2 linked regions of the Arabidopsis thaliana genome follow. The protein of the gene in region 2 interacts with the protein of the main gene of each other region in a pairwise test. Each region holds a gene or a part of one and is shown on either strand. Other genes may lie near its edges. The genes, in order: bHLH104 and AGL79.

Region 1 (15,962 bases), on a different chromosome or scaffold from region 2:
CGACTACGTTTTCATGAGGAAAGACCGTGGGGTTCTATATATGAGCGAGGTGGACATCGGGCTACCGGTGCCGGACTACTTCTCGGCGTTGGTCGTGGCTAAGGTTGGGTCAGGTATCGCGAGAAGGGAGCTGTTACTGAGCGGGAAGAAGCTCAAAGGAGAAGAAGCGGTGGCTCTCGGGATCGTGGACTCAGCGGCGCATGATAGTGCGGAAGGTGTGGTGGAGGCTACAGTGAGCCTTGGAGAAAGTTTGGCCGCTAAGAAATGGAATGGTGAGGTGTATGCAACCATTAGGAAGAGTTTGTATCCGGAGCTTTGTCGGATGGTTGATTTAACGGCAAATAACTTGGCCACTCACAACCTCTAGAAACTCTCATTGTCTTGTTGGGAGAAAAATGGTTGAAATATGAATATTGCCGACAAAAGTCAACGTCCATTTCACTAAGCACGTATTTGTTTCTCACCAATAAAACATAATTAATCTAACCTACGTCTTTTTATTTTTCATTTAGTTGAAATTTTAACAATATTAATAACCATATCAATACAACTATTGATAAGTTATATTAGCTAGAATATTTGTAATTCATACTTGATAATCGTACTAGCATCAGCAATATATGTCACATCATGCATCTATTTATAATATCCAAATTACGTCATATGACCATAATCGTATATATCGCCATAAGATAGAATGAGAAACGGGTGCAGTCTGATCAACCAAACTCAACCGAATTAGACAACCCACGAGAAACCTTATATGGTGTGGGGAATTAATCCAAAAGACAACATTGTATATAGAGAGAGGAAGTGTTACACAAAAATAACCATTTTTTTTTTTTTTTTTGAATGTAAAACCAATACAATAAGTCAGTAACGAAGATGGAAAAACCAAACAATAAACACATATTTTCTTGTTACACTTGAGCTATGCTTTTTCTTCTTCTGTCGTTAATTCCAACGAGATGTGAGTGGACATCCAAGGCGGACGAGGAAACGACTATGAAGATCAGATAGTGTGACGGTACAATTCTATTTAGATCGAAAGTAGTATATTCGGTAGCATTTCGGTATGTTTTTACCGAGACTTACTGAGTCATCCGATAATAAAATATATAAAAAAACGATTATAAAGATAAATTGTATTAAAAAAAACATGTGTAACTAAAATTATAGATTTCTTTAAAGAAAAAAGGAAAGAAGAAGAATCCTATGAGAAAGGAAAAGATGGTTTATATCATTTCTCATTGACATTAGTGAGGATAAAACTTTTTAAAGAGATTTTGAATTTTCTCTAGAAATTTGCGAAAACCCTTTTAAAAAAACTAGATGCTCTTTTTGTAGAGAAAATATTTATTTTCATAATCTTGATTGAAAAATTAAATTTTTTTTTCAGAAAAATCAAAAACTAAAAACATGTTAGATATTAGTACCATTCAAGGTCTAAATTATATTTGGTATTAAATCCAAATGAAATTATGTTTGACCAAAAAAAGAGATCTCGTACACGCCGGCCCATGGGCCTTTACAACAGATTGAACCAAAATGGAAACATAGACCAATCAGGATAAGGTATATTTCTCTCTATATTTGCACAATTCAACAACAACACGATTTCTCACACATTTCAAGTTTTCATTATCATCCAGAAATCTTCTTCTTCCTCCGATCACCACCATGTGTACGTTAGAGAAACGCGGCGATCTCTTCCTCCTAACCCTAACCGGAGACGGCGAACACAGATTCCACCCCGACACAATTGCCACCATTCTCTCCCTTCTCGAACAAGCCAAATCTCAATCCACCCGTGGATCCATCCTCATCACCACCGCCAACGGCAAATTCTTCTCCAACGGATTCGATCTTGCATGGGCTCAAACCGCCGGATCCAAAACCGGAGCCGCAAACCGGCTTCACCAAATGGTTGAATCATTCAAACCGGTGGTAGCAGCGCTTCTCGATCTCCCTATGCCGACGATCGCCGCCTTGAACGGCCACGCCGCCGCCGCGGGATTGATTTTGGCTTTGAGCCATGATTACGTGTTCATGAGGAAAGATCGTGGGGTTCTGTATATGAGTGAAGTTGACATCGGGCTTTCGATGCCGGATTATTTCTCGGCGTTGGTTAGGGCTAAGATCGGGACGAGTGCGGCGAGGAGAGAGCTGTTGTTGAGTGGGAAGAAGATTAGAGGAGAAGAAGCGGTGGGTTTGGGGATTGTTGACTCGGCCGCGTATGATAGTGAGGAAGGTGTTGTTGTGGCTAGTGTGCGCCTTGGTGAGAAATTGGCGGCGAAGAAATGGAGCGGTGAGGTTTATGCGTCGATAAGGAAGAGTTTGTATCCGGAGCTTTGTGGGATTCTTGGTTTAGAGACTAGAGTGTTTGCAACACCTAAGCTCTAAGAAAGCGTCTTTCAGAGAGTGAATCTTTGGTTTATTTGAAAAACACATGTTTTGGGAGAAAGAGACAATGTTAAACTCTAGAACTGTGATCACAGAAATAATAAACATGTTCAATGTTGGCTTGTTCAGTGTTGTTGTTGGGCTTGTTCTTAGGCTTGGTTGTTTAAAATATGGAACCGGTTTAATCGGTTTTAGAGCTAATTAGATGAACTAGAGATAACCGGGTTGTAGTAGTTATCGGAGAAGGAGAAACGGTGTTGTGAATTTGTGATTGCTGAAATTACGCCATGTTAAACCGGTATTAAAACACAAACTGTTTTTCGTTCGAAAACGCATCTATCAATCTTGGTCTTTTATGTTCCTAAAAGATAATTTACACACTCCCAGACATGTAATAATTAAACCAGCATTAGCATACAAGACGACAAGAAAAACTCACCAAAAAATGATAATTTTAGTTGTGACCCCTTTTTCACAGTATAAATTCTTTTTAAAACTTTATGCAAAATTGTATTAAATTATATTATATGAAATAAATTTAAGTAAAATTGTTGCTTTTTAAAATTTAACCTCTTTATATTACCATTATCATAAAACAGAATGAATCTAAATAGAAAAATTCCCAAACAAAATCTCAACTATTTAAAAGTTGCCCAGATTCATATACACGATTTCATATATAAATTTTTTCAGTTTTATCCTAAAATAAAACTAATTTTATTTATTTAAAATATCAAATTTATATTGATTTTCTAAATAAATACCAAAGGGTGATAAAATAGTTTGGTATTTGATTTGAGGTTAGTTTTGATTTAAAATGTTAGTAATAATGAGTCGCGTTTTATTGGTTGCCGGCTTAAATACTTGAAATGACTCGGACGAACGTCATTGGCCAGGCAACGTGTAAAGCATCCTACGTGGCGTTTACTTCCCAACGAAGTAGCGAGTACAAAAACCAACATCATTGTACTCGCGCGAGTAGGTCGACGAAATAAAAATCTCACCTTTTTGACCCCAAAAATTTCTAAATATTTCAAAATCAGCCTCTTCGTTTTCTTTCTCCTCCTGTCTGTTGATTTAAAGACCCAAATCTGACGCTTCTCTCTCTCTTTCTGGTATCTGCGTTTGATTCGGAGAAGAAAAAAAAAAAAAAGGCAAAGAGAGAGCTTCAATGGAGTTAGCTTCTTTCCTTGGTAGAGCTCTGTTTGTTTCCGTATTTCTTCTCTCCGCATGGCAAGAGTAAGCAATTTCCTCTTCTTTACTCGGTTTAGATCTGTAAGTAGGATCTGCTTTTTCTTTATATCTGAGAAAATTCAAAATCTGGGGGCTCTTTGTCTCTGTTGTCTTAGAGAAGTGCACAAATTATGAATCATGGATTTAGGTTTTAGCTCGATTATAGCTGAGTGAGTGAGTTCTTGGAGGAGAAAGAGAAATAGAATGTTGGACAGTGAAGGAAAAGTATGGATCTTGCTTGCTTTGCTGGGGTTGAATTTGATAGATAAGATATCTCTGGTTAGATTTTGTTTCTGATTGGTCAATAACTGTCGAACATTGCTATGTTTTCTTCTGTTATTACATCATTCTCTAATTTTAGCACTTTGTTTTTTTTAAGTTCTTTCTTTTATTACTCATTAAGTGGGTTGTCCTGAAGTTGCGAAGTTTCTTGTTGAGTTGGTCTCGTTGGTAGTTGGTAGTTGGTGGTTGGTTATTTAAGCACATGATTCTAAAGTCTTGAAACCAAGAAAATCTTACTAGGTGCTTTGTTATGGTTGTTGTGAATCAATTTGACTCAACCAATGAACTCATATATTGAATGCCTGTATAAGGAGTTTCTCTTCTAATTTCTTGTTTTAAGTTACACAATTCTTCTGACGTTACAAATGTAGTATCTTTATACGTTGATTGAAGAAAACTTTCTTTGTTCCCCTTGACTGTCTGCTTGGTTTAGTTGAAAAGCATTGCTATTTGAGTCTCTACAGAGACAGTTTACCTCACTTTTGTTCTTTCCCTCACTGATTGAAAGTTCCAATATTTTTAATGACTTCATTGTTCAGGTTCAATGATTTTGGTGAAGATGGTGGCCGATCAGCTAAATCTTTGAAACCAAAATTCAATGCCTTTGTAAACCATGTGACAACTCACACTGGCCAGCAATTGCCACCAGTCGATGTATGTGCTTCTTCATGTCCATTCTTTGTCCAAACACAGTAACCAAATCGTTTTTTTTTTTGTTTTCCTGTTTTATTCACTTTGCTTTGGTTTGCAGATGAAGATTCTTGTTGCTGCTGCTATAGCCTTGAAGGGTATTGGGGGACTATTGTTTGTCTTTGGCAGCTCATTGGGAGCTTATCTCTTGGTATGCACCAACTGTTCCTTCGAATATATTGTCGCTTATCAGAATGACGAAAACAACCCTGTTTAACTCTATGAAATCTGGTTTCAGCTTCTGCATCAAGCCGTTGCCACCCCAATTCTGTATGATTTCTACAACTACGATGTTGACAGAAAGGAATTCGGCCAACTATTTTCAAAATTTACACAGGTTAGCTAATGTCATATTGGTTGTTTAATGAAAGTTTAAACAACTGTTGACATAGACCTGAGATCTTTTTCTATTCTGTGTTAACTTTTCAGAGCTTGGCTCTTCTTGGAGGACTGCTCTTCTTCATTGGAATGAAAAACTCAAGGAAACACGGTAGGCAACTCAGGAAAAAGGCTCCAAAGGCAAAAGCAAACTGAAGAAGCCATATCTTTCATCGGTTTTATTCGGTCTGTATTTTATTTTCATTTTGGAATCCAGGATGGGTTTAAAGAGTCTATCTGATGAGGCCATTGAAAGGCAAAATCTCTGCAAATCATTTTGCTTACTTCAAGAAGCTTTTATGACACTTTTTTGTAGAAATATTTATGGATTATTGTTTCTTAGAGACACCACTTCAATGTTATTGTTCCAACTTATTTCACAACGCGACTGATTTATTAACCTACGGAATAGCCATCAGCTCAACCTTTGTAAATTCATTGTCACTTTGGTCCTAATTGGCTAATTTGTTGCTACTCAGTGAATGGTAAAAATAATTATTCATATAGCGAAGAATACAACAGCAAGAAGCTCTCGTAGCTCAGTTGGTTAGAGCACCCGTTTAGTAAGCGGGAGGTCTTGAGTTCAACTCTCAACGAGAGCAACATTTTTGGTCTGAGCTAAAGTTTTTGATAACTGAACTTTTCGAACTCATAGATCAGAGAAGAATCACAAGTTTCTGGAGTTATATTTATTTTATAAGAAAAATACAACCCAAGATCAAGAGTAAAGCTTTTACACTTGCCAAACGGAAGAATCCTAAACCAAGTGATTCAGAAATCTCTATGAGTTCCCTATGGGTACCAAAAAAAAACAATTGAGAGTTTAAGCAGCAGGAGGCCTGAGTTCTTGATCACGAGATGTGTCACGAACGGATTGAGGCATATAATGCCACATTGGCATGTAACCGTAACTTGGATAAACAGCCATTTTGTTGTGGTTAAATGCAGCTGGAATATGAGGTATGAACCCTGAAGATGGAGCCGTCATAGACTTTAACTGTTGTTCTGTCTTCTCTTTATCCGCCTTCAACACCAGCTTTTCCTCCCTCAGCTCGTTCTTCTCCGCCTATAAAGAAACATACAAACTTAGAAATCTGTTCACATCCCATTGAACAAGATTCTTGGTTTAGGTGAAAGTGAATGAACAACCAACCTTGAGACTCTTGATCTCCTCTAAAAGCTTCTGGTTAGTTTCTTCAAGCTTAAGAGCTTCATCTCTAAGTTGATTCAATATACGGATTGCATCATCGAGTATAGCCGGTTTATCAGTCTTAGGAGTCCTCCCAGGCTCCAAAACCGAGCTCAAATCCATAAACCTAACAGAACAACAACAATTTTTTTCCCCTTGAGACAACTCACTTCACAAAACAAAAACATAGACTAAGCTCTAAACATACCTCTCATTTAGCTTCTCCCTCCTCAACCTTTCACGACACGCTTTAGTTCCTCCTCCTCTGCTACACGATCCAGTCCTTGCCCTATCAACAACCATCACAGATTCAATTAAAAACACAACCAACTACCACCAAATCACAAAAAGTTTATATTTTTTCAAAACTCACCGCTTTCTGGAGCAATCGTCATCTAAATGTTCCTGTTCTTCCTTAACAGCTCCACCAGATGAACCAGAATTGATCTCTACTTCTTCTTCCTGCACAACTTCACAATCTTGTTGCCCCACCTGTTCTGGCTCTAGCGACAAAACTCCATTATACGAGGACAAATCCAATTGAGAAGCTCCAATACTAAAGACTTCATCTGGCTCCTGCTGCAAATTCACACCATATGACACAAAATCTGGAAAGGTATCCTCTTGATCAGTCTGCAAATTTACACCAAACTGTGTGTAATCATCAAGTTCTGCTCCATTGCTACAAGAGTCATCATGACCAAAAAGATTCACATCCATCAATAGGAGTAAATATAAACAACAACATCCATAAAGCTACTTCTTCTCCTATTCAATTTAACAGCTTTCAGATACATTAGGGTTCGTCAAATTATCATCAAAAGACACAACCTTTCCCCCTGAAATGCGAAAAAAACAACAACACTTTTCACAGAAATCGAATTGAACATTAAAGATATGATTTTGCAATTGAAAAAAGGGATCAAATTCGATAAAACAACTGAATCGAAAGAGATAGAGAAAACAGAGGAAGGTGAAGGAAGAGAAGAGTGCGAAAGGACGAACCTTTGATCGAAGCAAAACAAATCAGAGACGAAATCATCGTCGAGAGAAGGATACATTTGAGAGTCTCCAAACAAATTTGAGATTTGTGGAAAGCTTCAACGGAGACGCCAATATTGGAAAAGGAACTATAAATTATAGAGATTATATTATTAAAGCGATCCTATTATTTAAAAAATTCCGAGTGACGACAAGGAGATAAGAATGGTGGGAACTATATTCGCCGATTTGATATTAGTGGAAATAAAAAACAGAGTGTTTTTTTTTACTCAAATTCCTATTCGGGAAATGACAAATCGCCTCTAGAAATACACTTTTTAAAGTATTGAAAGATAGACAAACAAAAAAAAGACAGAATCATATTTTCATGCGTAGATATTGGGGAATTTTATTGAATTTGCATTTGTTCTTTTTAAGATAGTAACTTTTTCATCGAGTGGAGTTGAGTAAACCAATCCGATGCAAGAACGTCTAAAGGAAAAGCAAATCGTTGATACGTTTTTGACGAGCAAGAGCATGAGCTTGAGAACTACACAATCTAGGATCAAATTCAAAGAAATGAAAAGGAAACCAACTTTCCAAAACGCAAGAATTGGTATGGTTTTATGAATGGTTCCGCCATGTCAATTCAGGTTTAGAATCCGCGAGTTGGACATAATCTATTTTATTATAGGGTTATACTTTTAGATTTCTAAAAAGTCAGGGTTATCGAGTTAGTATATGGCGGATTACAATCTCAAATGAATTAACTCGCATATCCTGCGAGTTAACCAATAAACAAAATAATATAATTAAAATTATCAATATTTATTTAAAATATAGTAATTTGTGATTTGTTTATTTAATTTGTTAGATATTATTGATTTTTAAAATAATATTATAATCTGTCATAAATTTATTTTACTATGTTTAAAAACTAATTGTAAAAAAAAAATTTACTTCTCAGAATAACTAAACAAGAAAAAAATACACTAATCAACAACAAAATTTACGGTCATAAAATGGATTGGGTTAGTGTTGGTGTGCTCTACGGTGTTGCGCCACTTCGCCAAAACTCACACAATTACATGGTGGGGTTTAGTGAAGCGAAATAAAGAAAAATTTGTATACATAAAAAAGAGAGAGAGAGAAGGAAATCAAAAGTAAATGAGGGAATAACAAGATGAAAGATTAGTGGAGATATGATCAGAGATTCATATCTTGATAGAGCCAGTCTCATCAAAATCGTATAAACATCAACATTGACAAAAAGAAGAGTCTACCTAGTCATGTTGTGGTCAGTGGTTACAGTGAACGAATAAAGAGGGTCCCTAAGTTTTTGCACCTCTTGGAACAATCTAACGTCGTATTGTCGTTGCCAAACGTATCTTCAAATTTTTATACCCCAACAAAAATAATAATTCTTGTGAAGTATCGTCTATATTGCTCTTGAAAACGACTCATGTGGAACGCACGACGAGAATAAAAAACAATTTACCTTTTTTTTTTGTTAAACTCATCTCCTTTGAATGTGGTTCATAAATTCGAGAGATTAGTAAACTGGTATCCACTAAACCGAATAATAAAATATCACTCGATTATTTTAGAGGAAAATCTCTTCGAATGATATACTTTTCACGCTTTATTACAACTACAGATAATTCTGATAGGACTTCGAATGAGTTGTATGATCAAGATGCCGCTTCTCAGAGCTAGAGACCAGCATATCTCGTAGCTTTTTGAAAGAAAAAAAAAAGAGAAGAAAAATATCCTTTGATCTATAAACTTTTGATGATTTATTCGGAACACGCCACACAACCAAAACAAGCTTTGATCAAAATCACAAACAACTCAGATATGTCTATAGTCAGCATAAAAGTCTTGAGAAATATACCAGAACTGGGCGGAAGGTGTGAGCGCTGTAGCATGACGTGAGGGCCAAGGATAAAGATTGCGAAAAGGAAGAATCCACCAGATATAATGCTAATGGTGACTAAAAGCCATTTCACATGGGCAATTGCAGTGATCACGCCAAAAAGGAATGCTACGGGCATGCATAGTAATGAAAAAAGTAGTAAGGGCAAGGCCACATGTAAGGATTTGAGGATGAGTGCTAGATCACCCAACTGCGCCCAAATAAGAGTACATATTGTTGCAACAGAACTTTGCATTGCCAAGATGTCAAAAAGCAGAAAAATGAAGAGAGTTGGGTTAGTGGCCAAAGTTGCCCTGCCCAAGTTTGGTTTTTTGCTATCGCTGATATAACCACCTGGTATTGTAAAGCCTGCAGCAAACGTCACTGTGGCTACAAGAGCCGCTACCACGAGAAGAGCGTTGACGTAATGTCTGTTTTTCTTAGGGTCTAGTGGCACTGACTGTATTGTTAATGACTTAACAGATTCGAAACCACTTGAGTGAATAGCGTATAATAAGAGCGCCAGTGTCCACCTCTGTAATTCCAAAAATATGGAGGTCAAGCTATAAATCATTTATGAGGGATCAAATGTGTTGTATGAAACGGAATCAGAAATACCTCATGAAAGATGTAGTTGGGTTTCACCTCTGACTCGGCAATATCCCTAGCTCTTAAGCCGCTTTTGTTTCGTAATTTCAGTATCTCGTGGTTACGGCTAGCAAGACAAGTAATGGAGTCAAAGTCCCAGTTCATGACGGCAAGGTGCAAAGGTGTATTCCCGTCCACATCTTGCCCAACACCCAGATGTTTCGTATCTTTATCATGCATCAACATATATGCAGTAAGAGAGGCCTCATTTTTTGCCGCCACGTGGAGAATGTTCTGACCAAGTCTGTTAAGAAGGTATTTTGAAGCTGGACAACGTTTTATAAACTCTTTAATAATTTCGTAATGTTCGTTTTTTGCAGCCGAATGAATTGGAAAAGAACCATCTTGGTCGCAGACATAAACACCCTTTGTTGATCGGTTTAAGATGTTGCATAGTCCTTTATAATACCCAATGGATGCTCCGTATGAAAGACAAGTCCTACCATCTTCATCTTGCTCGTCCATAAGACTTGGATATTCATCAAGAATAACATCAAGGACACCTACTCAAACAATTGGGAACAACAATTAGCCATCTTGGGGAGGAGATTCTCGTCCCAAGCTGGTTTTACATAATTTTAACAGATTAAACGTAGCTGTTACTGATTATTAAAGAAAACAAAAAACAAACCTATACTTTTGGCCTTCAAAGCAACATGTGCAAGATGTTTGTTCCCTTGTAATTTCGAATCTAAGTTAAACTTCCTCACTTCACGGTCCACGTTGTCGTCTGTGGTTTTCAAAATTGCTTTCACAAGGTCTTCAAATTTATTTCCAGCGTCTACGGCTTCGTACAAGGAAGATATTCCCTTGTTATTTCCAAGAAAAGGAGCATCCTTGTCCGCGTTCACCAGACAGGTAGCCATCTCCAAATAGCGTCCTTCAATGGCGTAGTACAGAGCAGTATTTCCATCTTCGTCCTTAAGAACATGTGGATTCAGTCCCTCACTCTCTTCAGTACTCAGACTAGCTAAAGCAGATGTTACCGATGCAACAAGAGCCTCAACAACTTTGGTATGACCGCCATGAGTAGCCACATGTAGCGGTGTCTGACGGCTTGAGTTTTGCTCGAATAGAAGGCATGGACATTCAAAGATAATCTCCTTCACTAGTTCCAGATGACCCCATTTAGCAGCAATATGAAGAATTGAATCTCCTGTATTGCTCTTGACACGTTCCATTGGCGTTCCATTGCTTCTCAACTTCTCCAGACATTCTTTTTCCCCATTACTCATTCCACCAAAAATCTCCGGAGTCATCTCGACATCTTCACCAGGGAGAGCGAAAAGATCCGACAATTTAAGGTTAGTACGGAACTTTGGCACAGGTTCGGTGTCGCCCGTAGGTGACGTGGTGCCAACTCCTCCGCTGTGAGAGAAATCTGGTAAAACAATTTGTTACCAGGGTCAAAATAGTTATTTACTAGTATAGTAGTTAGTATCTTATGTAGATATATCGAAAGTTTTACAGCTCTCTTATCGCTAATTTTTATCACTTCTAACTATTTTGTATCACTTACGATTGTTTTCTTTTTGCCAAAATATTTCTACTGTTTTATTTCATCAATCGAATTAACCACTCGTCTTACATTTCATGAGACAAAATTTGTGAGTTCTAACTATGAAATCAATTAACTTATGAAAAATCTAAAATATAAATTTGTAAATATCAGAATATAATAAGTTAATGAAATCATAAATATCTTTATCTAATAGTCAATTCAAAATTAATCTAAATTTTAACTAATCGAGATTTGTCAAGTTGAAGACTCATAAGAGAAAAGAACATAAACACTTGCGCGTTTTGTTAAAAAAAAATTATGTAGATTTTTTACTAAATTATATAAATCTTGGATAGTGACATTTATTAGTTCTTAACTATCTATATTAATATTTTTGAATTACATTTTAGAGAGTAACTTTGTTTTCAGTTAGTATTTACAAAGAATGTCATTACTTATAAGTTATAACCAAACAACTTTACAATTAAAAGATTTTAACATCAATTATAAAATAAAAAAATCATAAAATTTAAAAGAATGATTCTCCTATCATTAAGATTTATTTTTTAATTATTTTGAATCATCATATAAGACATAAAAAGTTTAATTTGTCTGTATTCTTGTGATTCCAATTGTTTAAAACGAACATATATTACTCAATTAATAGAAAATAAATTGAGTTCAACATCCAACATCAGCTAAAATATTTAGACAATCGTTCAGAGCCATAAAAAAAATAAGATAAAAAATGAATTCGAATCTTAATGAACATGAAATTTAACTTAGTAAATATCCAAATTTACAAAGTTTCTATACGGTTTTTTTTATAGTTGAAATGTTTAAGTTTACCTGATATAGTAAATTTTTTAAGTTATAATATTATAATTAATAAATCCAAATTCAATTAAAAAGTTTAAAATATTATAAATATATTTAAACATATAAACAATTTAAAATAATATAGGACAAGTTATATTGTGAGACATGTTATATGGTGAAACAGGTTTGAATCGATATTAATAAAAAGTTAAAATATTATTAACCGGTAATTCATATGGGTTATATTTTTATTAATTATTTTGTTAATAAAAGACATGTTGAATAAGACTAATTTTATTAAATTTTTATAAAACAATATAATTGTTATGTGGTATATTGCTAGTTATATCCTAGTGTTATATCCTAGTTTATAACAAGAATCAAGTAGAATAGTTTTTCCTTATCTTTTTTATGTAGATTGGTTGGTTTTGCATAGGTGTCAATAATAATTTATATAGGGTCACTATACTCGTTAATAAAGCACATGTAATGAATATTCAAAATTTGTGGCCACCCTATGACTCATGTACCTTTCCGTTGATCATGAGAAACTAACATTGACCTTTGTGCCTCAATTCTATCTAGATCTGCTCCAGAACTGTCCATCGCAAACCTAAAATAATCACACAAATGGTTTGAAAAGTGAAAACACAGATTTAAGTTTACTAGTTACTACCACGTCCACAAACAAAAAAGTCAACCATTGCATGCAGAAGGGGCAGAGAAAAAGACTTACCAAGTGGCAGAAGAATTTGAGTAATGCAAGAGCTTTTGCTTAAGGTTCGTCCCTTAGTTTTAAAAGTCGTTAATGTCTCGAGTCATGGTTATCGAGAGGAGTGGTGGTCTCCTATAAATAAGCAAAGGCCGTTCTTATCTTCTGTCTTAAAACTGTCTTGGATGCAATCCACCACACACAGAGTTTTCATATGAAATTGTACATGTCTTGAAAGCCGGCGATTAAAAGATGACCCCAGTTACTAACTCATTAGAAGACTTTGAAGTCGTCTCCTAATATAGTTGGTCTAAATTTGTATTTTTTTTTCCTGGGAGAAAGTGACAAGATGAGTAATGCAAATTCTAAATGTCGTTACTGTCTCGACTCAAGTGAAAGTGGTGGTCTCCTATAAATAAGCCAAAGGTCGTTCTTGTCTTCTGCCTTAAAACCTATCTTTGCCTTAAATGAAAAAAGCAATCCACCACACACAGAGTTTTCATATATATGGAATCTTACCATGTCTTTAAAGCCAGAGATTAAAAGATGACCCGAGTTATACTAACCCATTAGAAGACTCTGAAGTCGTCTCCTTATATAGTTAGTCTAAATTTGTATTTTTCTGGGAGAAAGTGACAACGTGACCCTGTTTGTTATATGAATCACTCCTACCTCTTCATGATCTTTCTCTTTATCTTGCAGTAAGCTTCTGGATTGGGTTTTTATCATTTCTTTCCTAATTACGGTTTCACTGTTGTAGCCCAACTATACCCAGACCAGAGAGCAAGTTGAGGCGGGGTTTAAGCGGATATAGCTAAAACTTATAGATAAATTAGTGATTCATTGATTGTAGGAATACCAGAAATTTTAGTTCATCGCAAGTTTATTAGTTTACTGTTGCTGTATATTCATTCTCTAGCCAAAAAACAATTACGCTTGAAACAACTTTTTTTACATGTACATCATACTTTATATTTTTATTTTATTTTTTTCCTTATAAATTCATTGATATCAAAACAAGATTACAAAGTCAGTATACAGTAATTTTTGGAAACAATTTCTTACATAAACAGATATATACGCCATATAATGAGAAATATACACCAAAAGAAGTAAATTTGACGATGTTTCAAATAAGTCTTACTCGCTATAAGATTTTTAAATCCTATATTTTCTTTCTCTTTATCCGATTTCGCTCTAACGCAAATTGTTTGCGTGGATAGCTTTTCTTGGCTTGATTTCCAAAGTGCACACTGCATGGTTAAACCTATTGATTCTAACATAAGTTCTGAGGCTATGACTATCGGATATTCGGATACCAACACTTCCGTAACCGAGTCTCTCTATGGGGATTTGACTTTGACTTTATGATCTTTGAAATCAACCTTTGAAATTGTTTCCGCTTGTTAACTATGGTTTCCTCCTTCATCCCAAAATGCCCTATCTTCCGCAGTTGTTGCCTGATATATTTTTCCTTGATCGGAAATAGAAAAATACAAACCCATTTCTCCATCCTAAGAAACGGTTTTGGGTTTGCAAATTCAAACAGTTTCTATCAATTTATCAGTTATGGACTCAAAAGTTGTTATGTAGCATTGGTTATTGTAAGTGATTGCTATTTCTATAGAGAATTTGGTAACTTAGCTTCTTAGTTTTTAGCATGTAATTGTTGTGTAGAGTGATTCGTTTACTATGATATGAACCCATTTTACAGTGCTAACTGCTAAGACGTCAAGGACGGTTCAGCATAATGAAATAGTCTTCTCATTGTCCTCCGTCACATCACTAGTTGTATGGTTTATACACATTATCTTATAGGCAAAGATGTGTTTGTTTTGTTTCTTGTGTTGGTTAGCAATCGAATCATGTGTGTGTGTTTTATTTTGTTTGCTAAACGGCTGAAGTAACTTGCCGTTTTTTCGTTTTTAATTACTGTAATAGTATTCATGTTGCGACTAACATATAACTTTATTTGGCTGATTTATTTAGGCAAATTTTCATGTTTGTTTGGTGGCTTACTTGTCACTTCATCAATTAAAAAAATGATGTCGGATGCAACAGTCCATGTCATCATCATCAAAGGAAATACGAAACGTTTTTTTTTTCAACTCGTCTTCTTCACATGAGTTTTTCACATCATCGGAATTTCCAATTCATCACCGTCTTCCTCATTCTTCTTTCATCCTTCTCTCGATACGATTGGGTAAAGAATTTGTATTTAACACCGTCGATAAATGGTGTAGAGTTGTGCAAATAGATACGGAAATAACGCACGACAAGCTTGTGAAGTCGGTGTTCGATGACTACGGATTGAGTGAGTTGAGCTATCAGTTAAAGCTACCAAGATACCGCTTCTCAGAGAGACCATCATATCTAGCTTTTTATTTTTATTTTGAAAGAGAACAAAAATCTCCTTTCATCAATAAACTTTTGATGATTTTTTCATACGAAGAATGCCTTTGAATAGGCTACAAACTCTTAATAACAACCACAAAAAAGAAACTTTATCAAAGACACAAAAAGCCCAATTATGTCTTTATACTGCATAAAAGTCACGAGAAAGTCACCAGCGTACTTGGGAGAAACGTATGACCGTTGTAGCATGACGTGAGGGCCAAGGACAAAGATCGCCCAAGAAAAGAATAAAACAGATATAATGCAAATGATGACTACAAGCCATTTCACATGCCCAACTGCAGTGACCACGCCAAAAAGGAATGCCAAGGGCATGCAGAGTAAAGCAAAAAGCAGTAAGGGCAAAGCCACATGTAAGGATGAGCGAATGAGCACTGGATCACCTAACTGCGCCCAAATAAGAATACCTATTGTTGCAACGGAACTTTGCATGGCCAAGATGTCAAGTACCAGAAAAATGAAGAGAGTTGGATTAGTGGCCAAAGTTGCCCTGCCCAAGTGTGGAGCAGAGCTGTTAAACCCACCTGGTATTGTAAAACCTGCAGCAAACGTCATTGTGGCTACAAGAGCAGCTACCAGGAGAAGAGTGTTGACGTAATCTCTGTTATTTTTAGGGTCTAGTGGCACTGACGGTTTTGTTAATGAGTGTACAGATTCGAAACCCCTTGAGTGAATAGCGTATAATAAGAGCGCCAGTGTCCACCTCTGTAACTCAAAAAATGGGGGTCGAGCTATAAATCATTTATGTGATATCAAATTTTGTTGTATGAAACGAAATTATACATACCTCCTGAAA
Region 2 (17,862 bases):
AAGTTACCAAAACACATGAAAAAATTATGTCTAGAAACAACAAGATCATGCTACGTGTAACACCCGTCCCGCCATATAGACTAAGACGGCATGTTATTCATCTGATCTTGCCAAAACGTTTTCTTTAAACTTCACACACGAACAAAATATTGCACATAACTCCTCACGCTTACTAACCTGAGGAAAAAAAAGGAAAAAAAAAGGGTGAGTAAAGAAAACTCAGTGAGGGGAATCAACTCTGCCCACTGAAACATAGAACACTTTCTAAAGCTATACAACCATCTTCATAACATATAAACTTAGACACACGCAATCAACCTAACATGCTTTAACTTCTAATACCACATTTATAATAATCATCTTATATATATATATATATTATATAAACATACACATCGTTAGGTCCAGTCATCCCCGTAGAACCTCATAAGTGGAGGCTGGCCCTCGTGGCTTAAACACTCCCATGCATTCCGGGCTCGTTAGCCGTTCTTGACCAGTTGTTAATCCGTCGGTCCATCACTGTCCACATCACTAGGGAGACCACGGCCCATAGCTCGATTCTCCCCAGTCTTTCATACAAACATACATAATCATCATATATACATACTTATACTTAACATTCTCATACATAATATATCATAGTCAGACATCATCACCATAAATATCAATCAATAATCATCAAATCATATCATCACATAATCTTATCCTACGCAATCAGATCTAAGCCTACATATCATGCGTCAAGAAGCATAACAAAAGACAATGATAATATGTTTCGCAAATCCCACCCTCACCTTAGTCTAGTTGAAGATGAAGAACATCTCTATTCTCCTTTCTCTCCTTTTAGACCAACTTAGTATAAGAGCTTTAACTGCATACTCTTGAGCTCCACCTTGCTTCTCCATCAACCAAAACCTTACTCCATGAGTCCTAAAGGCTTCTGCAAAGCTTCAGCTCCAACCGAACCCGTTTCCCATTCAAACAATAAAAACTTGTCATGGTTTACTCCATACAAAACTGTCTCAGTAACATACTCATAAGTCGAGAAATAACCGTTAGAAACGTAATCCCACCGTTAAATATGTAGCCAATAGTATCATGAATAAGTACACGAAGTTTCATCCCGATCGGACCTCACATGAATCTCCCACGTTCTTCTGAAGATGCTGCATCAGAACTGATATCTAAATTTCTGCAACTTGAGATGATTCTGGGCAAACTTCTAAGGTCAATTCCGGATGGAGCTCCGATGGACAATATGTCAGCTACTATGAGTTCCTTGAATCAAGATCTTTCCATAGAAATCTTAATCGTGATCTAATTCCTTCTGGTCCACCGGGAAAACGCATCATAAAACCAGTAGTCACACATTGTTCTTGATTTATACTTAAAATAGATTTGGACAACTTCTGCAGTTACTTGCCCAGAAAGAAATACTCATATCTTCTCGAATATAATACCGATTGAAACTCTGTCAGTTGGTATGGCTTCATGGCAACGTGATATGTTTAGAGATGTCTTATTTAACAACTGATTCTCTATGGTGCAACGGGAATGATCCTTACAAAACCCTATCTTGGAACTGTTCTTCCTCCTTCCTCTTTTCCTTCTTCTTTGATGCTATTGCTCTGTGCAAAGCTCCAATCTGCTCATATCATCCTCCTCTAAGCTTTACTCACAATCATAATCCAACTTGTGCTCTCCTAACACTTGACCGTGATGATCTCTTCTCCTCCGTGACGACTCCTTGGCCTCCATCTCCGTGATCTTCTTCTTCCTCTTACCTCCTCTTTCTTTATCACTCTCGCTCTTTTTCCATGATTACGATATGATCTTCTCCTCTCTTGTGGCTGTGCCCAACTCATCTTCTCCTTTACAGATGATCGATCACCATAACGTCAAACAACATGTCATCTCACCAACTCTGCAACGATGGCTCACAAACTCGTCACCAATGACCGACAAAGCTTTTGTTATGTTATTGTTGCTGCTTTTAGGGTTTCAGTTCAGGCTTCACTTTGACGGCTCTTCCAAGAAGGAGATATATACATATGTATATATATGCTCACAACATAAAAACACAACAACCCTTAACATTTTATTCTTGGGTTCAATTAGGCTTTAATGGGCTTTATCATTATTTCGAAAACAATTAGGCCCTATAATGTGGGAGTGGGGTGTTACATTACGCGTGGGTTTATTTGATATATTTTGGTGAAAATTATATTTGAGTGATTGTTATTAAATATTATCTTATCTTACTTTTTTAATTTCTATTAAAGAATTTTTTCTTTTCAAATACGCAATTTTAAAATTATAAAAATAATAGTGCTTGAGAATCAAATTTGATTAAAAGAATCACGAATCAATCTTGTTATTAATCTTATCGAGAACCAATTTTTCTTTATACTAGTTTTTGTCATCTAACTCATTATGTCTGTAGGAACGAAGTGAAAAATTCAGGAAACTGAGGAAGGGTCAAATTCCTCACACAACAAGTCGAAAAGGAATGACTCGATTAGCTGATGAGATGATATGTATTTATATATTGATTTGTATTAATTTTGATAGTTGTATTTATATATTGATTTGTAAAGTGTTGAGGTACTTTCTTATGATTAATCATCAGTTTTACATGAGTATTTATACATCCACCATTACTTTAGAAACTAGAAACTTTTATATTTTTTATTTTACCGATTTGTAGAATTTCTCTTTCTTGTTGTAGAAAGTTTCTTGACTTTAGTTTTATTTTTCCTCATCTTTTAATAGGTTTTTCCTTATCGTTTAAACTAAAGCTAAGATTAACATATTTTCAGGTTTTTGAATTTTTCTATAAAACATCTTTGAATGATTTCAATATATGATTTGACATTTAATTGTTTTAGGAACTTAACATATATTCGATTGTTTAAAATAAGAAACCTGGTTTTTATTTTCCTTTTTTTTTAATTTTAAAATATAAAGTAATTACTATTTTCAAAAATGTTAATTAATTAGATGTTAATTATGTTAATTATTGATGTGCCAGCTCTCGATTGGTCGCTCTAAATCCCACGTGGACGCCTTTAGAAGTAAATAGCTTCAACTTTTATATAGTATAGATTTAGATAGAATAAGCAAATTAAACAATCATTACCTTATCTTTTATAACTCTCAACCTAATTCCCACCCCTAATTTCAATGAATAAGATTTCACTAAGAACACAAAAAAAGAGCGAGCGCACGGAAAAGGCAAATACCCCTAATCATCTAAATTTTACATTGTTTCCAAGTGATTTTTAACTTGATAAAAATAAAATCACCAAGAACATGTCACAAGATATGCAATTCAATGTATAAAATTCATTAAAGATTAAAATGAACTCAAACATAAACGCATGGTCAAAGGATATTACTTGCATCAAGTTCACTAAACACACTTAGTAACAATGAGATAGTCAACATACTTCTCATCATCCATATATAAAATCTTTGACGGACACCTTACGTATCATGTTCTTCTCTTTTATTTGAATCAAATCAGATCAGAATTCTTGAATTAACACATCTGCATTTTTGGTTTTTCAAGCTTTGCATTCACCTTCTCTCACCTTGTTCTTCTTCTTCTTACCCTAATTTCAAAATCCATAAATATCCACCAAAATTGGCGGATGTAAAGTCTCCCGAAAAACTTTATCTTTTATTCATTCATGTGGTTAGAGTTTAGCGGATATGTTTGGATGATCAGTAGTTATAAATATTGGAATAGTATTTTTGTTCAAGTACCTTTTAATATCCATTTATTGATAAACAAATGTTAAATCACAAATGAATAATATGTAATATAATTATTTACTTCAAATATATCAACAATGGATATTAAAATGTAAAAAAAATTATCTTAATTTATTACATACAAATATAGACAATAAATGTTATTTTAAGTAGCGGAAAAAAATGAGAATGAGAGAAAGAAAAATGAGGTGGAAAGAGAAAAAAAAATGAAAAAAAAGATGTGAATTTGTTTGTCAACGTTTTCCTTTAAACATAATGATATGTCTATAATTTGCATGTTTTGTGTGTTCATTCATCATCGTTTTGAGTCTAGTTTCATATCTTTCATCACTATTTTATATCATTTCTCATCATTCTTGCATACTTTGCATGATTAGGATAGCTTTGCATACATATTGTATTTTTGAGTTGTTTTCAGGTGATTTGGGCTGTTGGCGAGGAAATTGGAAGAAGCGAGCCAGAACCAGAAGACATACTCGACCCCCAGGTCGAGTACATCCAACACCATACTCGACCCCCTGGTCGAGTGACATTGGAGCCATTCTTCCAATCTACTCGACCCCGTGGTCGAGTAACCATAGCTCAGGCCACTCGATGACACCACTCGACCCCATGGTCGAGTATCACTACACCACACCACTTGACCATCACTCGGCCATTCACTCTACCACATCACTCAACCCCCTGGTCGAGTATCATCACTCAACACCAACACCATCACTCGACCAAACACTCGATCACATCTTCAAAGTCTACTCAAATTCGCACTTAACAAGACAAGCTGAGCACAAGGACGAGAAGAGGAGAAGAAGAAGTGTTTGGAAGCGGTCTGGAGCTTCATCCGATCACGAAGCCCATCTCGGCCCATTATCACTCTATGGGCCGGTCGATTAGGTTCCCGGCCCATCAACTATCATTTTATTTTGTTTTGTATAAATAGGTGTCTGAGGGTTTTGTCCTAAGACATCCAGTCGACATTGAGTTTTTGCTTCAGTTTTATTTTCTGATTTACTCTGGCTGCGCCGCTTTGCTTCTGTAACCTGTAATTCGATATTTTTCCAAGTTATTCAGATTCAGCATTTGATTTCATCTGTCATCTTGTTTCTCTACTCTTTATCTCTTTACTTATGCAATATTATCATTTACCTGCGTTTATGTCTTTGAGCATGTTGTTTGAGTAGTGACATAGAGTTCTTAAGGATGGGATAGAATGGTTGTGGAATCCTTAGTCTGTAGAATGGTTAAGTTTTAGAATTGATTGAAATCCCTTCAGGACTAGTTGTGTTTACTGCTTATTTCTTTCTGATCAACTGGAATTCGATCCAAAGCATTCCCGCACCCAGAAGGTATTCGATGGAATGCTTGATCCACTAGTTCTTGAGATATGCATCTCTATCCCAAGGGATTGGCCGTTTAGAGCGTGTATTGACTTTATTAGTCGGTTCTTATTGCCTGTATAGTTAGATTCCGTTAATGGGAATTAGTCTAGGCTTGCTTTGCTTGAAGATTTCTATCACGGGAGTGAATAGATCTGTTGTTGAACCTTTTGTCTAGAGATAGCTTGATTGCGCTTGTTAACCATCCGAATAGGCTAGGATACCACTCCATTTGATTACCCCATCCTTAGGAATTTCTCGTCTAACTGATTTCTCAGTTTTATCGCTATCGCTTAATCGTTCTCATTGCATGTTTTTTAGTTTTTGCAATTACTCGACCAACTTACTCGACCACACCTAGTGTCTGGCAACAGACTGTGCAGTCGAGTACAGTTGTCTCATTTCCTGTCTGTTACTCGACTAGCATACTCGACCACACCGAAGGGCTGGCAACAGACTGTGCAGTCGAGTATAGCTGTTTCATTTCCTACCTGTTACTCGATCACATCCTGCTTCTGTCATCAACCAGTTGTGGTCGAGTGATTTTAGTAATTCTGTTAAAATTTTTGTTTTCTGCATGTTTGCTTATGACTGTTAGAAACCTCAAAACCGTTATTGCTTGGCTTGACTTAGTGACTTCTGATCACATCTCATCTGTTTGCATCACACCTTATTGGATTGACACCTAAAATACTACAACGACAAGATAGTGTTTTAGGATAATTGACTAAAAACATACTATCACAAAATATCTTGTTGAAGGATATTTTGTTATTGATTTGAATTGAACCGTTAAAAAAAATTATAAAAAAAAATATAAAATGTGTCTCTTTTGATATGAAACTAGAAAAAAGTGTGCCATTATGTATCTCACCCTATAAATAGAGGCAAGTTCTTTATATCTTTTGCTTCCTGCTTTAGAAAAATGAAAAAGCTGCTTAAACAATACCTTGTGGAACTTGTGGATCTGTATCTATTGGGCGTCTACGGTATTTACCTTATTACCTAATTCCAGTTTTAGGTGTCTCTATCTTGATGTTTCTCTTAACGCTTTGTATTTATCTTCTACTACCCATAATATTTTACAGATATCTTATTGAAGTTATCGTCGATGATGGTTGCCAACTTTTCATATTTATTATTTTTGATGAAGCACGAAAAATATTGTTGAAAGCCACTGCATCTAACTTGGCTTCTAGAAATGTAAGACTATTAAATTACCATAACTATATCTTATTTTTCATACTCCAACCTTTTGTTTTTAAATAGAATGTAGGTGAAAACGACCCCTATGGAGAGATTGTACCCTAGGAGATCCACAATATAATTAGAAGAGATTTCATTTTCTACATCAAAGTATCATGCACTGCTAAACACCAAAGTTTCTCCGTCTCTAAAATGGTGACACATTCCCCCTGGTCACCAAAAGGGTATGTCACAATCCCTATATTCATATATATTTATCTACTTCTGAACTTTATTTTCTACCACTTACAGTCATAATATTTTTGTAAATACCAAATTGTTACCGATCAATTACCAGTTTTCCATGTGTACTAACGACCCAACAATTCCGTTCAGCCGTTTGGCCGGAATTTGGTCGGAAAGTCACCAAAAAATATTATGTCAAAAAAGTTCCAACAATCTTAACTGTTTTCAAGTATATTATCACCAATTGTGGTTTCAAAGCTCTCTCCCTAGGTTAATTGAACAAAAAAAAACGTAGAACAACGCAAAACAAAACTTATATACGTCACAAGTATGTTATCAGATGAAACACTTTCCACGAATAGATCTTCTTCACTTAAGGACACGAAATAGATGGGTATTTTAGGTTTCATTCCAAAAATGTTGAAGAAGTATCGGATAGTGCAATTACAAGATACAAGGACTTCTGTAAAGAAAAGTCTGCGTGGCAACCAAATGAAATAAGCAAGGATACCAAGGGAGGACCAACCGGACAGAATAATTTACACTGATCTCAAGAAGAGCTCGATCTCCTCCTACCAATATTTTAGAATATTCATGGGATATTACCGACTCGATCGATGCCGATTCATCTCTATCTCATTTAAGCCGACCTAAAGATTCTAATATAATGACTTAATGAGAGCCTCGCCCAGGCCAGAAGTTCAACACACCTCTTGCATCTCCCTTTTCTTCTTATAAAAGTTAATCTCACATACGAGAGAGCAATAAGCCTTTAGAATTGCACTAGGTACTTTTTATGCTTTTTCATTTGGTTCTTCTATACACTCTTCTTAATCATGTTAACTCAATTATTCATTCACTTATTCAATTCTTATTCATCACTATGACCCATGGTTCGAAGGAGTTCTAATGAACTGAATTATGATTACTATGATTTTCTATATTTTTTTCTCTCTTTTTTTAAAGATTACTAGGATTTGGCTTTTCAATAAGCAAATTACTGCATGAACTAAACTGATCACTTGGTACATCAAAATTGGTAACAGGTTTCCTAAGTACAACGTATCCCAGTAGGGCTCATTACACAAAAAACATGTACTTCCCCTTTCACGTATTGGGCAGCAAGCTCCATTAGGTTTAGGCTTAAAAACTAGAGCTTTGGGGGAATTTTAACATGTGGGCTTAAGCCTAATGAGATAGGGTTTGGGTTCGGTCGTCTCAAGATGGAATAATATTGTCTTGTCTCACTTGTTGTTTTAGTGGAAAACTTGGTGTTGTCATACTATAAAGAAGAAAAAGACATCCAAGCAGATTGAAACTCCAATGACACTCACTACCCTTAGATCAATAATTAATGATTTTTATTAGATGAAGTGCTTCTATGCCATTTATCAATACGAACGAATAAACTAAACATAATCTGCTAAAGGTTCTATCCAAGAAACTAAGTATCGACCCACAATTGGTATGCACTTGCATTGATTTTTTTCTGCCAGGAATTTTCACTTTGAATGATGGTTGTTTTCCATTAATATTTACTCTTGAGACCATTTATATTTAAAAGTCTATAATACCAAAACAGGGATGCCAAATATGGTATATATATAATACTTTTTCTTGCTACACAAATAAGGTTTTCCAAAACTTCGAAAATAATCAAGGGTTTCAACACTGGGAAAACTCTAGTGTTCCAAAACTGTAAATTCTGCGTTAAATTTTTGAAACAATCATAGATTTTAATAAGAAGAATATATAAGATTGGTTTCTTAACTTATACCCGTAGTCGTTATTCGATCCAGAGGTTGATGCATTGGTTTATGTTTTATATAAACCACTGTTAGTTTGCCAATGGTTTCAATAGTTTCTTTTTGTTGTCGTCCTACCCCACTTAGATATAATAACCAAAAGAGGATGCAATTTATAATTATTGTGATGGATGCTCAAAAGGAAAAAAAGTTGAAAAAGGGTTGATGGTGCAAATTGGAGCATGCAAGAATGGTGCCCAATTATATGCATAGCATCTTCCCTAATCCTCAACTATGTATTTTTCAATTGAGTATACGAATATTTTATGCTTTAATGTTTTAATTAATATTATATTGTTTTTTTTAAAAAATATATGTTATTAAAGAAGTTCTCAAATCACATTTGTTTGGGAAGTCTGTCAGTTGGGCTTTTGCCTAATTGGTTTACCTGATAGTCAGAAATGCAGGCGGCCTGACTACCCCCTGGCATTAGTCGGAAAGCATTTCAAACTCCGGACAGACAGTGTGGTGGTCCTTCAGGGAGAAGTCCACTCTAAAGTACTTCGGTGCGTTTCTACCGAAACTGACCGGATCAGTCGATAATGTTTATCAAAAGAAAAAAAAAAAAAAGAAGTTTTGCTTTTGTATGAAAAAATGGAAAAAAAAAAAAGGAAAAAAGAAGTTCTGTTTCTTTGAACTTTTTTTTATCCAATGATCTTAAAATACAATAGTTAACCCATAATAAATTATGCAAATAGCTAGCTCGAGTATATATTTTCGCACATATTTGGCTAGGGTTTACACAAGTTAATCTATATATATATATATATATATATATTTATATACATACTGATAATTGTTGCTATTGGCCAACATTAATAGAGACGGCAGTGCTAATTATTACTTCAAATATATTTGTTGGATCCTTATATCTAAATCGAACCCTTAATTATATCACAAATATTGAGAATAGTAGTAAACATTACATATTTTGTGGTGTGGACGGTTCCTTACCCTTAGAAATAAACAACTTGTATGTATATGTATAGAAATTAGAGAGCGTTGGGAATTAAAAAAAAAAAGGCATGTCCCTAAATCTCATCAAAGGGTCAAGTGCAAACACACAAACTTGTCCTAGGAATTGCGACATCGTGTAAGAGTTCCCCTTTGGCCTACATTTGTGGTACCACATCTACTTGATTCTTCAAATATATATATCTATACCCACTAGATGTTCCCAAGGAGCAAGTCATCCATCATCCTAGTAACCCATGTCTTATAATCCCATTAATGAAAAAAGTGTATATCGTAATTTTCTGATAGATCTTTTTTTACTTTTCTTTGTCTGGCTAAAATTATATTATCTTTTAAATTTTTTCATACAAAAATCTATTATCTTTTTTAATATTTTATAATCGCGACCGCGAAATCGGATGGTCCCCAACCTTTGAAAGCTCAGCGTGAGATTTGAATATTAGGGTTTAGTACAATTTGGAAGCCTAATTTAAGCATAATGGTCCCCATAATCTTCATTATATAAGTTGGTAATAGTACACTAAATATATGAATTTAAAATAAAAACAAAGTGACTAACTATTAATATATGTTAGTGCAGCGGACCACATTTGAATGTGAACCCATGAAAGGTCTATAGCGATCATGTTTTTATTACTAATCTAGTACTAAATCGCATTAACCCAAATTAAGTTACTTTTTAATTTGCATTGGACCACCACTTTAGGAACGTATATACATACAACTAAATGTACATTTTGCATAATACATGTAAACGTATATATATAATCTCATGCATTAGTATACATTATATATACGCCTCTAAATGTACATTTTGCTATCTCAGTTACCAATTCACCACCCTATAGTTTGACCTTCTATGCGAAACTCAATCCTCGTAGATGTCTTATGCCCAAATTTATTTTAACAATGTTAAATAGCGTCTAGATTTATGAAGAAAAAAAAAACTTTTTAATCAACCAAATATCTTTTATCAAACGTAGACAAAAACTCATTTAGAGTAGAGGATGTTGACTCTTTGTTCCTAAGCTCATTTTCTTATGGAAATATATAGTTTTGTCTTTAAAAATTTTATCAAACGTTATTCACGATCAAGAAAAAAATATAGGGTGAAGACAGTAAACATTTTTGTCGTAAATCTCTATATATATATCCTCAGTTTATATATATGATCAAGAATAGCATGTGTTTATTTATACTCATGTTCATTTTTGCCTCAACAATAATTTGTTCTTTCTAAATAAAACTGAAATTAAAGATCAAATTTGTTTGTTTGATTTTTGTTCTTTTTGTTTTGTTGCTAGAGTTAGAGGTAGACCCCTAGCTCATTTTGAATTCTCATGAAGATGCAAATCCATCGGTACCAATCTCGAATCATATTCATAAAATTAGGTCTTCATAAATTATGAAGTTCAAATCAGAAACTCAAGATATCAAATGACATTGGCTGGTTTTCTAACTTATGGATGCTAATTTTTGGCTCTGCAAAACCTCATATGATGCAATGGACGGTCAAGTTTTAAGAAACTAATATGAAATTGGGATTTTGTTTTCTTTTATGAATTAAGGTTCAATTTGAGATATATATGATTGTTATAGTTTGAAGAAGTTGAAAGTTTTTTAATCTGTTTTAAAGAATATCACTTGGAGAGTGGAAGATATTCTTAAACTAACACTAACGTAAGATATAATTTGTTCAATAGAAAAAAGTGGTTATCCAAGCTACACAAACTTTTTAGACTTATTTCTCTCATTCTTCTAGAGATTTTTAATGAAATTTGTATATACTTGAAATGCATATAAAATAAATAAGAAAACAATATCTACTTAATGTCCTGTTCAAGAATTATTAAGAAATTTCACTACGTTGTTAAGTCCATTTTACTCCACCTTCTCCACTGGAGTTAGACTCTACTAAGTCGCGTTATCCTGCAGAGTAAAGATTGACTATGCATTGGACCTTGTCGATGTGAAAATGTTAAAAAGATAATTATTATGAAATCTCTACTATAACATATTTGGTTTCCTCAATTTTAAAATACCTATTTTTTTCTCAGTTTACCATTAACCAATCTATTCCGTGATATTTAATGTTTAAACCCTTCTTCAATTCTATTTAACCTACATTCTAAACAAGGTGTCCTCATTTTCAAAATCCTAAACTCATCTTCATCTATATTTCTATTTTCTGCCAAAATCATACCACAAAAAACATATACGAAAAATGACCACGGAAATTGTCTTTTATTGTTTATTTCCAAAGTCAACCAAGTTGACTGTTCTTTATATAATGATTTTTTTTTAAAAAATTATATATTGAGCTAAGAAAATATTAAGTGTAATTTTCAAAAAGAGAAAATATATTTATTATAAAAATCTATAGTGGTGGATCAAAATTCTGGTTTAAATTATTGTATCAATTTTGAGGTTCAAATTTTAGGATGGAAGAGAAACGTAGAATGCACTTAAAGTTCTGTCGATTTTTGTTAGTACATAATCCCTCATATAACCATACATATACTTATTGCAATAACCATACGTTAAGAATAGGGACCAACTTCATCGGTGCTTCTGTTAGACATTTCAAGAATGATATATCACATTCATGTATCTCCGTATATGTATTAAGACCAATGACTAAACTCAGCCATTGTAGATATAGTTCAGGTAAAACTGTCAATTGTGGATCAGTATGTTGAAAATTGTTAACTATGGTTCGCTTGTAACAGAATATAAATATAATAATAATATATAATACTAATAGTAATATATATAATAATAATAAAAAGCAAGCACTAATTATTTTATAGAAACACTTTAAAAAGTATTAAAATCTCATTTAAAACAACTCTCCAAGTTGGTAGTCCATTGATCTACAAGACAGCTCCACCTGAACCACATCCACAATGTAAAATTTAACCGTACACATAAACCATGATCATAAGATGCAACATGGTAAAATCTCTGGTGAAGTTTTCGTAATCGATGATGAATATATATATATATATATATATATATATATATATATATATATATATATATATATATATATATATACAATATATTTTTATTTTCAATCTATTTAGTAAGTACATATTTGTTATGAAAGTACAAAAATAACATTGTAATAGGTCAAGCTCTTTGTGGTGGTTTACATTGTAATAGGTCAAGCTCTTTATTATTATTTTACTATATGTATCTTCTTATCCATTCTTATATTTTATATCATATATGGTCAAAAGAACCAATCGTATCACAGCAGCATTTGTTAATAGAACTTTGATCTTGGTAATTACAGGTTCTATATTGAAATCGCAGGAGCCAAACCAGCAACTTGGGTTAATTATTAACTTCATTCACCAATAATAATAATTGATCGTCAAGACTATTTCGGACACAAAGACATAAATACTTGTTTTCTGCTCTCCCTTTCCCTAAATGTATCATTTGATACTTTCTCTTTTTCCCTCCATATGCCTTTTGTGTGTATAAATATATGTATATGAATAAGTTCACAAAAATAGAAAATTAAATCAAATCTTCGCGTAATTTCTCATCAAACTCCACTTTTCTTCTTTTTAAGAGAATCTAGGGTTTCTTCTACTACTTCTTCTTTCTTCTTTAGGTGGTCAAATTTCCAAGTTCTTCTTTTAGCTCTCTCTTTTGTTTCCAAGAAACCTGAGAAGAATTTTTGTAGATATGGGAAGAGGAAGGGTTCAGCTACGGCGGATCGAGAATAAGATAAGGAGACAAGTGACATTTTCAAAGCGAAGGACCGGTTTGGTAAAGAAAGCTCAAGAGATCTCAGTGTTATGTGATGCTGAAGTTGCTTTGATTGTTTTCTCCCCCAAAGGCAAACTCTTTGAGTACTCTGCTGGTTCCAGGTTTGAATCTTTCCTAAGCTAATTAATTTACCAACTTATTTTAAGATCGCATATTTATCTACATAAATATTAGCCTATATTTCATGTTTGACATATTGGGAAAAGTGGTATATATAGGTTTCACATAGAGGAGATTGATTTGAAATTGGCTGAGATTGTTTAATTAATTAAATCAGTTTATAGCCAATTTTGTTTAGTTCTTCCATCTCTAACTTAGAGAAGATCATAAAAAATGAATGATTGTACAATACTATATATTAAATCAAAAGAAGTGATTAATAGAGATGATCGCATCAAAAAATAATTGTGAGACATAACAGTTCCACAGATTATATATTATCCAAAAAATATGATGGAAGAATGTGCTAATTGGGCAAACATGATTACGAAATAATATACGTATTAATATAATTTGATTCTTGAGGACATATGTATATATGTTGAACATATCATGAATAAAGAGAGATCTTTCATTTCATTGTTGTGTAAGTTTGTTCTTCAACGTTCTGGAGATAATTAAAACATGATCTACATAAGTTTAAAGAGATATTTAATACAAAGTGTACAAAAAAACTTTAGAATTAACACCTGCAGGCTTAGGATCAAACAAGTAGATCTAATGCTCAAAGTTAGCTTACTTTGGCACTCATAGGAGACTTCATTTTATTTATTTCAAGGAAAAATATAATAAATTCAAGGAAAACGAATTTTAAAAAGGGTTCTTGAATCAAAATAATTTTAATGTTCTTCTTTTGGAATAAATCTGCTATTTACATTTTACTTAAAAATAAAATTGAATGTTGACTAAAATAAAAATAAAATGTTGACTATAATACAAAATAATTTTGGTGGTTTTAACTAACTGAACATATTCTGGTAATAACAAAACATTATTTATCAGAGAATTTAATATAAAAGAAATGAACTGTAAATAATAGCAATTTAATTTTTGAAAAATAAATCCAATTTTAAGATGACGATTTTTTTTTTTTTAGTAATTGTCAAAACAGAACAGTAAAATACTAGGAGACATAATTTGTGATGACACCGTCTAAATTATCTCCAAGGTTCATGTAATATCTAATGCGGTATCATTGGATCAAAATGAACGACACACCAAAAGAAAAACAATTATCTCAATATACACAAACATACTAAAGAGGGACAAGAAATCTACTATAAATAGAAGAGTCAGCTTTCGATCATGATTGTAGTAACTAATAATAGTAAACATGAAACTTTGATTTGATTATGTTAAAATAAAAATTTAAGATATACAGCTAAAATCTTGTTGGAAATTGGAAGCATGACAAGCCTTTGTATAGAGCTTTGTGCATTGCTTTGTCTTTTGGTTGGCGGAACCTAGGACTAACCTCGATCGTCACATGAAAATATACAAACCCATGAAGCTACTTTTCTAGCTTGTAGGCTTAACTAGAATGTTCAAAAATGAATTTGCTTGCAAACATATTTTAACAAAATTTGAGTAGACTTGGTGTATCGATTGCTATAGTCTAATCAATACATTCAATTAATGTATCAAATTGTTTGCAAATGTAGATTAAAGTTCTCGATATAGAGCTTAAATTAATTTAGAAATGTTTCAACTAAAGTACAAAAATGATTATTCAATATCTTCAATGTATTTGTTGAGTGATGATAGTATATACATCGAGTGTTGATTGTTGTTTGATATACTATTTTTTTAGCATGGAGAGAATTCTTGATCGATATGAGAGGTCTGCCTACGCCGGTCAAGATATTCCTACACCAAATTTGGATTCACAGGTTCTTAAGCACATTTAAGACATATGAGTATATATATATGAATCATTGTTTATGGTATGTTTATGGTAAACTTAACTATCGTGTATCGATCTTTTTATCATTTGTAGGGAGAGTGCTCAACAGAATGTTCAAAGCTCTTGAGGATGATTGATGTCCTGCAAAGAAGCCTGAGGTAAGGACTTATTACTTACGTATCATCCAAACATAAAATACATACCTAAGATATCTAAATATGTACAAGATAAGAAATTGCATCTTTATCAAATTATAAGGCACTTAAGAGGAGAAGAGGTGGATGGTCTAAGTATCAGAGACCTTCAAGGTGTGGAGATGCAACTTGATACTGCCCTCAAGAAAACTCGCTCTAGAAAGGTTATTTATATGTATACAAAAACATTGTAGTATATTTTCTATACATGCATGGATCATTTGTATATACAAATGTGTATATCTAATAATGTGCAGTTTGTGTATGCATAAATATACACAGATATATAGATAAACTACACCTAATCATGTAGTAATTATTGTTTTGGTTTGGGAGCACAGAACCAGCTCATGGTAGAGTCCATAGCACAGCTTCAGAAAAAGGTAATACACTAATTAAGAGACTATCGTTGTTATGGTTGTGCCTAGGCCTGGACGTTTGAGTTTACGGGTCCGGTTTTAGTTTGGTTCTATTTTTTGGTTTTTGAGTTTAGGATCCATTCAAGTAATTGTTTTGGATATTGTTTCCACCTAACTTTTGGTATTTCGAGTATTTTTGGTTATTCGGTCTAAAAATAACTAATTATTTTAGGTGTATAAAATGTATTTCGATTCGCTGAATATTTCAGTCTGGTTCCCGTTCTTTCAGTTATGAAGTTATAATCCATTCGGATATTTACGAATTTTGGTTCGTTTTTCTATTAAGTTCCTCTCGGTTTGGTTAGAGTTTGGTTATTTTGCCTAGGACTACTTTTGCCATGCAAACTCATGTATCTGCCTGTCTTTTTTTTCTTTTCGGGTTTGTACAAAACATTATACTTATAGTAGATCTTCACAATTAGTAGTCTTTGATTTTGAGAAATAAACACAAATACATATACTAGATCTTGAATACTTGACTCGATATGAGTTAAACTAATAAATATGTGTCTTTTCTTTTGATGGCATAGGAGAAGGAACTAAAAGAACTGAAGAAACAGCTAACAAAGAAGGTGAAAGTGATGTTAGAATCTTTGACTATATATATAACCAGTTTCTTATAAAATGTAGAATTCACTTAACTTTTAAGAGAGATTAGTCTAGGCGCTAGTTTGAACTCTCTCAATCAAGTGTCGATTTTAAATTTATATTTGAATGTTAAGCAATCGGTGACTGGTAAATAGTAACTATAACAAGTATTGAATTTGGCAGGCTGGTGAAAGGGAAGACTTTCAAACGCAAAACCTCAGCCATGACTTAGCCTCCTTGGCAACACCGCCATTTGAATCACCCCATGAGCTTCGCCGGACAATATCTCCTCCTCCTCCTCCTTTATCTTCGGGGTACTTTAAAGTTTGATTTCACATAGCTACAAAGATAGTAAAAATATAAATGATAATTTGTTAGTGTTGATCAATGATAGTAAGGTAACATATTATAGTTTGTATCAATATTTATTTATCGTGTATATGAGATGAATTAATAAACTGCTTATAGGGATACATCACAAAGGGATGGAGTTGGAGAAGTAGCTGCCGGAACCCTAATTCGAAGGACGAATGCAACGTTGCCTCATTGGATGCCCCAGCTCACCGGAGAATAGAGGTCCGAAACAATCTTGGTTTTTTAATTTTCTGTACTTAATATATAGTACCGGAATAACTTCTTGAGTTAAGTAGAACCAATCCGAATAAAAGAAAATATCTTCTGGCTTGGCATTCTAGGAACAGGCTTAAGAGGCCCTCAAGTTTCAAACTTTGAACGAATTTAGAAACATTGTATGTCTAATGTGATTTTGTATATTGTATCTACGATTTTCACTTTACTGTTTGTGAAAAATGTAATTTCAGTGTAATGAAAAAGAAGAAAAGAACTATAAACTATATTTTTTATGACATATTAATTTCTATAGAAGGTAGGAGAAAACGTTTAATCTATTTTAGAAGCGTTTTGTAAACAGATTTTGCTAAAACAAAATACTTGACAATGTTTGGTAATTTTCTAAAAGTAATTACGATATTTTTTTCAAATAGTCTTGACTATTAAATATGCCATTCAAGAGTCGTCCTCACACTAAGCCGTGTGAACCAATTTACGACTCTGCCTCGCCACGCGATTCCTCCACGCCTTAGCATCGCCGGAGAAAGAAATATTGATTCTCTGCATTGAATTTCATTTTTTCCGGGAGATAGAAACATTTGTCATATGAAAAAGTGTGACTTAAAAACTATAGATTAAAGTATTTCATATACATAAGACGATGTCTTGGTTTAATTTAGACCTTTATGTTGCCATTTGTCCATTGTTATCTTTTATTTATCGATATATTATAGTTTGTCTTGAATAAATCAAACTTCGATATATTTCATTTTGTGTTTTTCCATTTGTCTAATTTATTTTTCTTTTATATATAAAAACTTTTCTTTTGGCCATGTAGCAAATATTGTTTTTTTGTTTATAGTGAATCTCATCACAATAAATAGCCATTTGTGAAAAGAAATCATATCTTCGTCTATGGTTTAAAATTTAAATGATAAACTTCAACAAATGGCCTTGATGTTGTAACTTTTGATACAATGTAATCTAATCAAAATAAATAGGCATTATGAAAAGAAGTCACCTTGTTTTGTCTTTGCTTCG

What was found.
Region 1: the proteins of AGL79 (region 2) and bHLH104 interact in a two-hybrid assay, tested with the Arabidopsis thaliana proteins (one large-scale study listed by BioGRID).

Annotation. Positions count from the first base shown.
Region 1 is NC_003075.7:8,291,351-8,307,312, reverse strand, and holds bHLH104 (basic helix-loop-helix (bHLH) DNA-binding superfamily protein), read right to left. Parts: upstream 7,917-15,962; 5' UTR 7,237-7,916; coding exon 7,181-7,236; exon of another isoform or gene 6,896-7,180; coding exon of another isoform or gene 6,858-6,895; coding exon 6,549-6,857; intron 6,465-6,548; coding exon 6,384-6,464; intron 6,303-6,383; coding exon 6,140-6,302; intron 6,053-6,139; coding exon 5,810-6,052; 3' UTR 5,646-5,809; downstream 1-5,645. Other genes in the region: HCD1 (3-hydroxyacyl-CoA dehydratase 1), read left to right, coding at 1-367; IBR10 (indole-3-butyric acid response 10), read left to right, coding at 1,681-2,403; AT4G14420 (HR-like lesion-inducing protein-like protein), read left to right, coding at 3,575-3,642, 4,458-4,572, 4,670-4,759, 4,847-4,945, 5,038-5,142; ACD6 (ankyrin repeat family protein), read right to left, coding at 8,953-9,606, 9,690-10,222, 10,351-11,100, 12,570-12,645; AT4G14390 (Ankyrin repeat family protein), read right to left, coding at 15,230-15,871, 15,954-15,962.
Region 2 is NC_003074.8:11,896,056-11,913,917, forward strand, and holds AGL79 (AGAMOUS-like 79), read left to right. Parts: upstream 1-12,814; 5' UTR 12,815-13,063; coding exon 13,064-13,248; intron 13,249-14,957; coding exon 14,958-15,036; intron 15,037-15,143; coding exon 15,144-15,208; intron 15,209-15,308; coding exon 15,309-15,408; intron 15,409-15,585; coding exon 15,586-15,627; intron 15,628-16,193; coding exon 16,194-16,235; intron 16,236-16,434; coding exon 16,435-16,565; intron 16,566-16,719; coding exon 16,720-16,825; 3' UTR 16,826-17,111; downstream 17,112-17,862.